Macaca mulatta: one gene and its partner. The protein of the gene in region 1 purifies or fractionates together with the protein of each later gene. This does not show direct contact. Links are inferred from orthologs where the notes say so. Each region holds a gene or a part of one and is shown on either strand. Other genes may lie near its edges.

Evidence for each region. The genes of interacting proteins can lie anywhere in the genome.
Region 2: the proteins of SLC7A1 (region 1) and STX4 purify together in Homo sapiens (co-immunoprecipitation; 3 studies listed by BioGRID and IntAct, counting the BioPlex papers as one, with this or other methods). This does not show direct contact. The link is inferred for Macaca mulatta from reciprocal best matches to the Homo sapiens genes SLC7A1 and STX4.

Annotation. Positions count from the first base shown.
Region 1 is NC_133422.1:9,415,437-9,420,665, forward strand, and holds part of SLC7A1 (high affinity cationic amino acid transporter 1), read right to left. Parts: intron 4,780-5,229; coding exon 4,640-4,779; intron 1,835-4,639; coding exon 1,732-1,834; coding exon of another isoform or gene 1,728-1,731; intron 78-1,727; coding exon 1-77. UniProt on the Homo sapiens protein: High-affinity, low capacity permease involved in the transport of the cationic amino acids (arginine, lysine and ornithine) in non-hepatic tissues.
Region 2 is NC_133425.1:29,669,778-29,675,452, reverse strand, and holds the start of STX4 (syntaxin-4), read right to left. Parts: upstream 3,615-5,675; 5' UTR 3,346-3,614; coding exon 3,316-3,345; intron 3,139-3,315; coding exon 3,037-3,138; intron 2,948-3,036; coding exon of another isoform or gene 2,926-2,947; coding exon 2,826-2,925; intron 2,690-2,825; coding exon 2,615-2,689; intron 2,179-2,614; coding exon 2,108-2,178; intron 1-2,107. Other genes in the region: uncharacterized protein LOC144337996, read left to right, coding at 3,620-3,776, 3,886-4,005. UniProt on the Homo sapiens protein: Plasma membrane t-SNARE that mediates docking of transport vesicles. Necessary for the translocation of SLC2A4 from intracellular vesicles to the plasma membrane.

The DNA.
Region 1 (5,229 bases):
CATTTTGGTCTGCTTGATCTAACTCGTCAGAAGTACTGGCCATCTGGTATACCAGGTTAGGTTGCTCTGGCTGATACCTGGAAAGAAAGGTATTGTGTGACCACCATCATCCGCTTCAAGCAAAAGGACATGCACCAACTCAAGTTCTCAATAAGCCTCCAAAGTTAGCTGCCCGGGACACAAGGTATAAAATGGGAAGGATATAGTCAGATGCTGCGTTGTAGACAGACGAGGAGAGACCGGGACCACCACCTCCCACTGTTGCTTCTGGGGAACATCCCCCACGGTCTCTGCTTCGGGGTGACATGACCTCCACCATGAGCAGCCCAGAGGAATACCCTGAGAGATCTCTCTTGCTCTGAGAAGTGGCAGTGGCCCTCAGATGCTAAAGATATTAGGCCACTTCCCACAAAATTACTGCTGTAGGGAGCAAAAAGGAAGGAGAGAAATAGAAAGCAGTAACGCCAGGATCCTATTTGGCACAGAGAGCCAGAGAAATGCGGCTGCAGGCTGATGGATTTGAGAAATTCTGTTTGCGTGCCTTAATTGGATCAATTTATTTTAAAACTCCAAGTACCTCGGAGTAAGTAATTCTGTGCGGCTGGTCGGAGGGCCGAGCCTGCAGCATGATTTCCAAGACATGAGTTACCTGCCAGTGGAGCATCCGTTCTGAATGAGGTGCCTTATCTTCCCACCCAAAGTGAACAGAGTGCACATCTTTTCCACCAGCTTTGAAAAGCAGAGTGCTGTATGAATTATTTTGCATATGATCAATTCTAAGAGGGAGTATAAAGATATTAACCATTTTTGTACGGATTCGCTTGTGCAGCACCACTCAGTCAATTAAGAAAGTGGGAGACCTCAGAGAATCTTCTAGCGTTGGGCCTGTTGGGAAGAATAAGGGGTCCCCAATAGTCTTAGCTGATTCTACAGAGCTTCTGCTGAGGCTCAGCTCGGGCTTTATGTGCATCGGCTGCTGAGCACCTTGGAGATGCAATCAATGGCCTGGCAGGTGGGAATCCCTGAAAAGAAAGGAGCAGGCTCTTGAGGGCAGACCAGTGCTGAGTGTCTCCATGAGCACCGGTTCTCAGGATGCCAGCTGCCCAGGGATGCGCTTTGGGAGTGGGCGCTGGGGCAGGTGAGAACACCGAGGCACCAAGCCCAGGCCCAAAGCAGCTTTACTGCGACTGCGAGAGGCTTGCCTGGCCCCAACCAGGCCACAACAAGCCGACTCCACAGTGTCCCTGAACATCAACCTAGGGCACCCCATGCCACGTAATGGGATTCATTCCTCCAGCCAGAGTGCAACGAAGCTTCAGAAGCATTACGCTGACCTGGGTTTCACAGGCCTTGGGTTTCCCTAACTCCTACCAGGGCAGCCCTCAATCCTCTCTGTCCCAAGAATCTGAACCAAGTTGCAATCAGTCTTCAAAAATTCTGATCCCAGGATCCTGGCCTAATAGTTGGGCCGAGAATCTATTTCTATCCACCCAACATCTAGCCATAAAAATGAGGGCACACGATAGAGGGGGGTGAGGGGCCACCCAACTCTTGCCAAGGACGTCCTCCTAACTGGGCTCTCAACCCAGGTCCTCCCCTCTCCTTGGCAGCTCCCATTGGAGCCATCACCAACCTAAAAGTTTCATTCATCACATAAACCATAGCGGAACTGTGAAAAGGCTACCAGGTGCATCTGCATTCTGTCATGAAACCCCAAAAAGCCATACATACCGTAAGACCAACACACAGGCAGCCACCAACGAGTAAGCCAGGAGAGTGCCAATGGACATGAGGTCCACCAAGTCCTTCAGGTCAAAGAGGAAGGCCATCACAGCTGGGAAGAGACAGACACCAGGATCTGTGGATGGCTATCTGCATGCACAGACAACCAGGACCACCACCACCTACCATCCAGGGCAGCGAAGGGGGCTGCTTTTACTCCCACTTTAAGCTTGATTAAAGTCAAGCTTCCCTTTAAGCTTGTGATTAAATCACAGACACAGTCAATAGACAGTAATAATCATTAACATTTGTATAGAGAATACCTTCGCTCTTGTGATTTTAATGGCAACTTTGTAAGCCATCCTTACATTACAGATGTTAACATTCACACAGGTTAGGAGACTTATCTAAGATCACACAGCTCATAAGCATAGGTATAAGGATGTGAACTAGGTTCTTATGACTCTGAGTCCTGTGTGTCTTCCTCTAGACCATGCTGATTCACAGACTCATGTGCATCCATCCCATCGATCCATCCATTCTCCATCAATCCATCTATCCACCCATCTTTCATTCATCCACTCACCATCCATCAATCCATCTCATCCATCTGCCCATCTTCCATCCATCTATCTATCCATCCATCCATTCATCCATCCCATCCACCCGTCCATCCATTCAGCATCTATCCATCTACCCATCTTCCATCCATCTCATCCATCTATCTATCCATCCATCCATCCCATCCACCCGTCCATCCATTCAGCATCTATCCATCTACCCATCTTCCATCCATCTCATCCATCCATCTATCCATCCATCCATTCATCCATCCCATCCACCCGTCCATCCATTCAGCATGTATCCATCTACCCATCTTCCATCCATCCAGCTCTGGTGAGAATGTGCCCATCACTGGGTTCTAGGCACTCACTATTGAACAGGGCAGACCACAGGCCCCAGCCTTCCGAGTGTACCCCACCAAGACACAGGCATCAGTGGGCAACAGTGCTGGATGATAAAGAAGGGCAGGTCTGGTGCTCTGGGGGGAATCACAGGGGGTCCTAACCCAGGCAGGCGAGCAGGAGAGCAGAGTTCTTCACATGTGAAGTCACTCACATGGAAGAAATCTGAAGACCTGTTCTTAAACAATATAGTATCAGCCCCTATCACCGTGCCCCTGGCCTTTAAAATGAATGAAAACCTGCACCCTTATTTGAACATCTTTTGTGAGTTTTGGGAGAGTATGCATGTCTATGCATGTGGGTGTGTATGTCAAGTACTCATTAAAAAACAACTTGGCTAGATCTGCTTTGGGATATTTTCAAAACACATGCAATCAACACAAGCTAAAATATAAACACAAAACCATTATTTTTCCACAAATATCTCTCAAGCCCCTCTAGATCACTGCAACTAAAACAAATTTAAATGGAGAATAAAACATAAAATTAAAGAGCAATGAGGGAGGGCCTTTTGGATAATCAGAACAGCACCCAACTGTGCATGCCACAGATGCCGATGCTCCTACTCATGGGAAACTTGAGACTAATTTCTTCCATGTGAGGTGATTTTAGAAAATCAAATACTTATTTACCACTCCCACCAAATGAAAAGGGTAAATCCTGGATTTTGTGAATGGCACGTACTTCACAGTCCCTTCAAAGAGCATGATTTGATCTCCCTCTATCAGCAGGGGAAGGAAATTAAGGCCAGTCCTGAACATGATCAAATTCCGGGTAAAGACTGAGAAAACAATGACTATTTCCAAATCCTTAATCCTGTAAATATACTGGTCACATTCTGGTGTATAGTGCCTCTCAATCTGACCACTGTAGTCACTCTCAAGAACATAGAATCACATAAAAAAAAAGTTTCATAATTTAAAAATAGGTTTGTTTTATTACATAATATTAATCCACAAAACTAAGCACAGTTTGCTAAAGGCATGAATGCTAATAAAACTTAGTGAATAATTCATTCATTTAAGAAGGTCAAGGGCCTTACCAATGGCTACTTGACAAGTTGCTGTGTTAGAAACTATGACTGATATCACATGCCCCAATTTGCCAAAAAGACCCACTGCTCTGCTCAGACCCTGGAAGGAGCTTGGCTACTTTGGCATGAAAACAATCCTGGAATCACAAGGCCGCTCCACCGTCCTGGGTGCACATCCTCACTTCACCTCCCTGGGCCTCCACTTCTACATCTGTACAGTGGGCTGGCGTCTGCCTTTCCGGGCTATGAAATGCAACCGCGAAAGAAGGAGACATAAAACCACAGGTACAGTGTGCACGCGAGCTTCCTTTTGGGTTCTCCTTTCCATCATCTACGGCCCTGGAACACCCACATGGCTCAGATTAGTCATCCATCAAAATGATCCTCTCAGCAATGATGCTCATCTGACAAGATGAAGCTCTACTGGGTCTGCTGTTACGTATAAACTTAGCGGCAAGCGGCTTCATCAGCAGCACCCTTGATACTCTCTGGGGAAGAGGCAGCACATTTCATAAGGGACACTTATTTTCCAGAGAATTCAGAAATGGATGCCGAATTTCCAGGTGCTGGCGAGGTCTCCCTTGGCCTGTGTCATGCAGGAAGGTGTCAGCCTGCCCTTGACTACTCAGGGAAATGTCCAGAAATGGGAGGAAAGGGTTTTGGGGGAATACTGTGTGTTCTAAGCTCTGCCCAATGAGATGAAAACCAGAGTGCAAGCTGTTCGAAAATTCTCTCCCATCCTCTGTCTTTTGTCAAAAGGTCAGTCAGCTTGCAATGAACCAGGCTCCAAGTATGAAACCCAGGAGTTAAAAAGACCAGGTGAGATTACTCACAGACCAGAACAAGGCAAGATACCTCCTTAGGGAGTCATGACTCCACTGGTAAAATATTGACATGTGAAATGAGTTCTGGTACTCACCAGCAATGGCACCCGAGGCTAGTGTGGCGATTATTGGTGTTTTGGTCCTATCATTGACCTTAGCCAAGAATTTAAATAGCAGTCCATCCTCAGCCATGGCATAGATAACCCGAGGCATGGGAAACATGGAACCTAGAAGGCTAGATGGGGAGAGGCAAACCACGTGAGTGAACCTGGCTCATAAGGGATAAAGGCACCACATCCATCCATGCTCAGTTTACCACAGAGGAGAGGGAGTCTGAGCTCACCAAGAGCTGCCATCCCTCCACGCTGGGTGAGGCCTGTGGCTAAAAGACTTGGCATTTAATAAATCAACCCCAGAAAGAGCACACACTGTGAGTAAGGGTTAAGGTAAAGAGTAGGGAACATCTATCTAACATACACTAGCATGAGACCCAGCACCGTCTTTACAGATGGAAAACTGTATTTATTCCTGCAATTATTTCTAGCTGAATCAAACAGAAAATACAAGCATCACTGCATTCATGAAGATTTCCCCATGGTAAATCAATATTTACCAAATAGCTCTGTTTATACAGGCTAAGAGGAAATACATTGGTGAAAATGTTTCTCATTAAAAGGCATTTATT
Region 2 (5,675 bases), on another chromosome or scaffold:
TTGAACTCAGGAGGCGGAGGCTGCAGTGAGCAGAGATGGCACCACTGCACTCCAGCCTGGGTGACAGAGTGAGACCTTGTCTCAAAAAAAAAAAAACAGAGAGAGATGGGGTCTCGCAATGTTGCCCAGGCTGGTCTCAAACGCCTGGGCTCAACCAATCCTCCCACCTCAGCCTCCAAAGTGCTGGGATCACAGGTGTGAGCCAAGGTGCACGGCCAGCCCTCTCTGATCTTGCTTCCTCTTACTGTTCCCTCCCTCTGCCCATCCACATTGGTCTCCTTACAGCCCTCCCTAGACAAAGCACACTCTCAGCTTAAACCTTTGCATTCACTTCTCATTCTACCTAGAATGCCCATTCCCCGCAAACACCTTTAAGTCTTTTGTTCAGATGTCACCTTCTGAATGAAGCTTCCTCCACTTGCTTTCAACTGCAACGCTACCCTCCTCCAGCATGCTCAGTCCCTCTTCCGCTGCTCTTTTTTCCTTAATGCTTATTATGTTCTAAATAATTCACTTATTTATTATGGTGATTGTCTACACCAGAAGGGAAGTTCCATGAGGATAGGGATCATTGATTCACTGCTGTACCCTAAACAGTTCCAAAAAGGTCTGGCACACAGTAGGCACCCAATATGTAACTGCTGAATGCTTGCTGAATGCCAACCTTGCTGCCTACACCACAGTTCCTATGCCTAGAGATGAACATGCTGCCTGGGCGAAACAGGTGCAACAGGCCCACATGGGCCCTCGACCACTCATGCCAATCACCACCAGAGGCTTCCCCAGAAACACTGGCTCTGGGGCATCTGCTCTGCCTTGCCCCTTCTCCTGAGACCTTAAATATGCTCATTCCTTGGAGTTCCTTTTCCAGAGATACATCTGCTCTCCTGGTTCCAGCTGCACCCTTCCAAGATGCCCAAGCTGTTTCATCTTCAATCTGGGGTCTTTGCTGAGCCCTGGGCTCAACTACTCCAACCCTGACCTCTTGGTATCCTCCTCACTGGGGACACAAAGAGGGCCAGTCAGATCACTGCAAATCTCCTTACTAAGATATCACCCCAGGGGCCGTGCACGGTGGCTCATGCCTGTAATCATAGCACTTTGGGAGGCCAAAGCAGGTGGATCACTTGAGGACTTGAGGTCAGGAGTTCAAGACCAGCCTGGCCAACATGGTGAAACCTCATTTCTACCAAAAATATAAAAAACTAGCCAGGTGTGGTGGTGTACACCTGTAATCCCAGCTACTTGTGAGGCTGAGGGAGGATTATCGCTTGAAGGAGGTGGAGGTTGCAGTCAGCCAAGACTGTGCCACTGTACTCCAGCCTGGGCGACAGAGAGAGACTCCATCTCAAAAAAATAATAATAATTTTTAAAAAAAAGATATTACACCAGGGGAGTTCCTCTTCAGTGTCGCCCCAGGGAAGTTCCACTTCCTGACTTCTTGAATTCCACCTGTGGGACTAAGGATGTCCCTGTCACACAGATAGCAAACCTGCCAGTCAATTTGTGACTTCTCACTCTCCTTCCCTGGGCAGCGCCATTAGCCACCAGATCCCACGTGAGTAATGTCTTTATCCCCTATTGAACCCTAACTCCTCATGTTGACTCCTAGAAAACACGTGTCCCAGCTGGGCGCAGTGGCTCACGCCTGTAATTCCAGCACTTTGGGAGGCCAAGGCAGGAGGGTCACCTGAGGTCAGGAGTTCGAGACCAGCCTGGCCAACATGGGGAAACCCCGTCTCTACTAAAAATACAAAAATTAACTCGGCATGGTGGTGTCCGCCTGTAATCCCAGCTATTCAGGAGGCTGAGGCAAAAAGAAAAGAAAACGTGTCCCACAGTCAAGCCTAGGTCTTGTCTGGGGTCAATAAGTAACTTCTTATTGAATGGAAGAAAATAAAGCAGGGTGTTATAACCGGACTGAGCATCAGGAGACCTGGTTTCCTGACCTTGAGCAAGTTCTTTCTCTCTCTGAGCTCAGGTTCCCCACTTGGAAAAATCATCCAATTGGACTCCATGACATCTACAGGCCCTTCCTTCATACATCTGTCATCTAATACTTCATGAAACATTTGCTGAAATGTCATTTCTGAGAAAAAAAACCCACCTGGGTTTTTCTCATTCTTGTGTTGATGGAGTTATAGTTCTCATCAGCTTCCTCCTTCTGGGGCTCTATGGCTGTGGGAAGACACAGGGGTATTGGGGGTACTTGTCTCCATAGGATTTTTAGGGAAATATAATTTATCATAAAATGACTAAGGCTGAGCCTCCAAGAGGAGAAAGTAAGTTTATTTTTCTTTGCATTACATCACTTGAGTTCCCGTAGGAATGCAGAGGCCACCTAACAAAACCCCATCTCCCTGCCCAAAGAATGCCCAGTGGGCAGTGATAACTGTGTAAGTAAATGGTTTCATTGTAAATAAAAGAACCTGAGAGACTGCCTTGTGCTGTGGAGAGTACAATGGCCTGGAGGCCAGAAGACAGAGATGCTAGAACCAGGCCTGCTGTGTGACCTGGATATATCACTGGCTTCTCTGGGCCACACACTCCCCAGATATACCAACAACAGGGCAGGATCAGAGGGAAGGATCTGCCTGAGGTCCCAGTAGCTCACCCTTCAGCTGCAGGCGGATCTCCCTCCCCAGCTGTTTGATCTCGTCGCGCAGGTTCTGCAGCTCCTGCTTCATGCCTGAATAAGAGAAGGCCACGACTCCCAAACAGCAGCCCCCACCTCAACAAACCACCCTGGCCACCACCTGCGTGGAACTACAACCCCCACAATCCCTGGGGCGGAGCATGCGCTATGCAGCCGGGGTTTCACTCACTCTCCTCAGGAAGGGGCGTGGCCAGGATGGTGACCTGCTGTTTCTCCAACTCCTGGACTTTATTCCCCAGCTTGACAATAGTCTGCCGAATTGTCCGGACCTGGGGAGGGTGACCGAGAGGGCTGAAAGAGATATGGGGTACTCCAGACCACGCTGCTCCTCGGGTCCTCCTACCCCCTCGCGAATCCAGGCCAAGACTCCATCCCCTTACCTTCTGGAAGAACTCCTCGTCCGGGCTCCCCAGCCGTGCCGTGCCCGGGTGCACCACCAGCGCGACTCGCTCCTTGTCCTCTTCGTCCGAGCTGTCATCCCCCTGCCAGGCCCGGAGTCATTGGCACCACTGTTTCGCTGCGGCTGTCACCCCGCAGGACCCACAGGCTTCCGGGACTTTCCTTCCTGGCCATCAGCCACCCCTCCCTACCCCGAAGACCAGGAGTCCTGCGTTCCAGTTCGTCCGCGCGCCCCCATCCCCGCTGCCCTGGCGTCTCACCTGCCTCAGCTCGTGGGTCCTGTCCCGCATGGCGGCCTGAGCTCTCCCTCCCCGGCGTCAGACCGGGAGGCCGGCAAACTTGGAATACCCGTACCCCACTCACACTCTGACACTCCCCTCCCTCCCCCTGTGGACCCCAACACCCCCACGAGCCACCAGAGCCTCCGTCCCTTGCACCGCCCACAGTCAATGGGAAGGCGCCGACCCCGGGGACCCCCCAAGGTTCCACAGGTTGGAATTCCCTTTTCTTCCCCCCTCCAGCTCCCGCAGCCTCAGCCCCGCCCCTCCGTGATAAATTCGGGGCATGCGCATATGGTCGCGTCTCTTCCTCGCCCGAGGCGCGGAAGGTGGAGTCGGAAGTTGTTGCGCCCCGAGCGGAAGCGGAGCTGCGTGGACGCGAGAACTGGCTACCGTCACCGGAACCGTTGCATCTTCCAACGGAAATCTGGTTGCCAAAAGGGGTAGGAATACGTCATTTGTACGTAATCTGAGGCACCCGCATCTCACATCACCCCATGGTGCCCCCACCGCGTCACGTGACCAACCCGGTCCCAAACTCGTGGACCGCAGAATGTGACGCTGTGACTGTCACGTGTCCCGGCTCGGTCAGCGCCGTCTCTGGGACGCTGTTTTCATCACGACGTCCCCGGCACTCCGACCACCGAACGACGCCCACACGGCCCCCGCGAGGTGGGGAGGGGCGCGCCCACCACTCCCAGAGGCCTTTCGAGGCAGTGGGTGGTAGGACCCTTGCTGACTTCGCCTTTATTGCTTTCGGGTCCAGGGGCGTGGGCGGACTGACGACTTAGCATTTGGGGCTGTCAGCATCATGGGACCTTGAAAATCGGGAAATAATAGGATCCGAGTCGTCAGCGTCAGAAAATTGCAGGGTTGTGTGGGCAGGGAATCTAGGGGTGGAAATTGACCTCAGCCAAGGCAGAAACCTCTTCTTCCGCATCCTCCTGGCGCAGCCTCTGACAGGTGGGCAGCCAGCCGGCGCCCTCCTTGAACACTACAGCCCGGCTTCACTCACCACCTTGTGGGCTGTCAGACCATGTCAGGGCAGCTCAGGCTAAGAAAAGTGTCTCTGCACGCTGCCTTCCCTGCCACTCACACCCCCCAGACCCTGCCTTGCATCTGAGGCAGGTAATGACTTTGTTCTTAACTGAATCTGGGGAGTTCCTAGCTCAGTACCAAGCACATTACGGGCCCTCTATAAATACTTGTGGACAGAATCTTAGCCTTTCATGTATCTGAGGATGAAGACCCTGGTTCCTTGGCCTTCTTTAGGCTTCAGTCTTTCTGACTGTGACACTTCTCTAATCCTGGCTATCGAGATATTCACTCATTTTTTATTTTTAAAAATTTTTACAAGATGGGGTCTCACTATGTTGTCCAAGCTGGTCTCTAACTCCTGGGCTCAAGCAATCCTCCTGCCTCAGCCTCCCAAACTGCTGGGATTACAGGCATGCACCACCATGCACAGAACATTCATTTAATGGATATTTTTGGGCACATACTATGGGCCAAACACTGTTCTAGGGCTGGAGATACATCAAGGACTAATAGATAAAAATTCCTGCACTCGTGGAACTTAAATTCTCTAGAAGGAGTCCCCAAGGTCATTTAGTAAGTCTCAGCATAGCTGGGAATGAATAACGGGTCTCCTGGACCCCAGGGCTCTGTCCAGGAAGCTTCTGTGAAGGTACAAGCAAGGAAAGGAATGGACCCTTTCTGCTATGCCCTGGTCAGGAAACCTAGATTCCTGGGACTGGGTTGCTATGGACTTCTGGAAGTTGCTTCCTGTCTCTTAAGTGTCGATCTCCCTCTGCACAGTGGGTAACTTGGGGGGATGGGGAGATCATCTTTATGGGTATGGGCTGCTCTAAACTTCAGTGATGATGAGGTTGGAAACTGTCAAGTGCTGTCTGATTCTATGTGAGGATTTTTGGCTCTTCTCTTCCTGTTAAAACCCAGCTCTAGCAGGGTGCGGTGGCCTATGCCTGCAATCCCAGCACTTTGGGAGGCAGAGGCAGGCAGATCACCTGAGGCCAGGAGTTGGAGACCAGCCTGGCCAACATGGCGAAACCCCATCTCTACAAACGTACAAAAATTAGCCAGGCATGATGGCAGGTGCCTGTAATCTCAGCTACTTGGGAGGTTCAGACAGGAGGATTGCTTGAACCCGGGAGGCGGAGGTTGCAGTGAGCTGAGATCACGCCATTGCACTCCAGCCTAGGCGACAGAGTAAGACTCCATCTCAAAAAAACAAAACAAAACAAAACACAAAACCCAGCTAGTAGGAGAGTGGTTCCCTGATCAACCCACAGAGGGAATGCAGGGTTTTTCAGGAAGCCTCC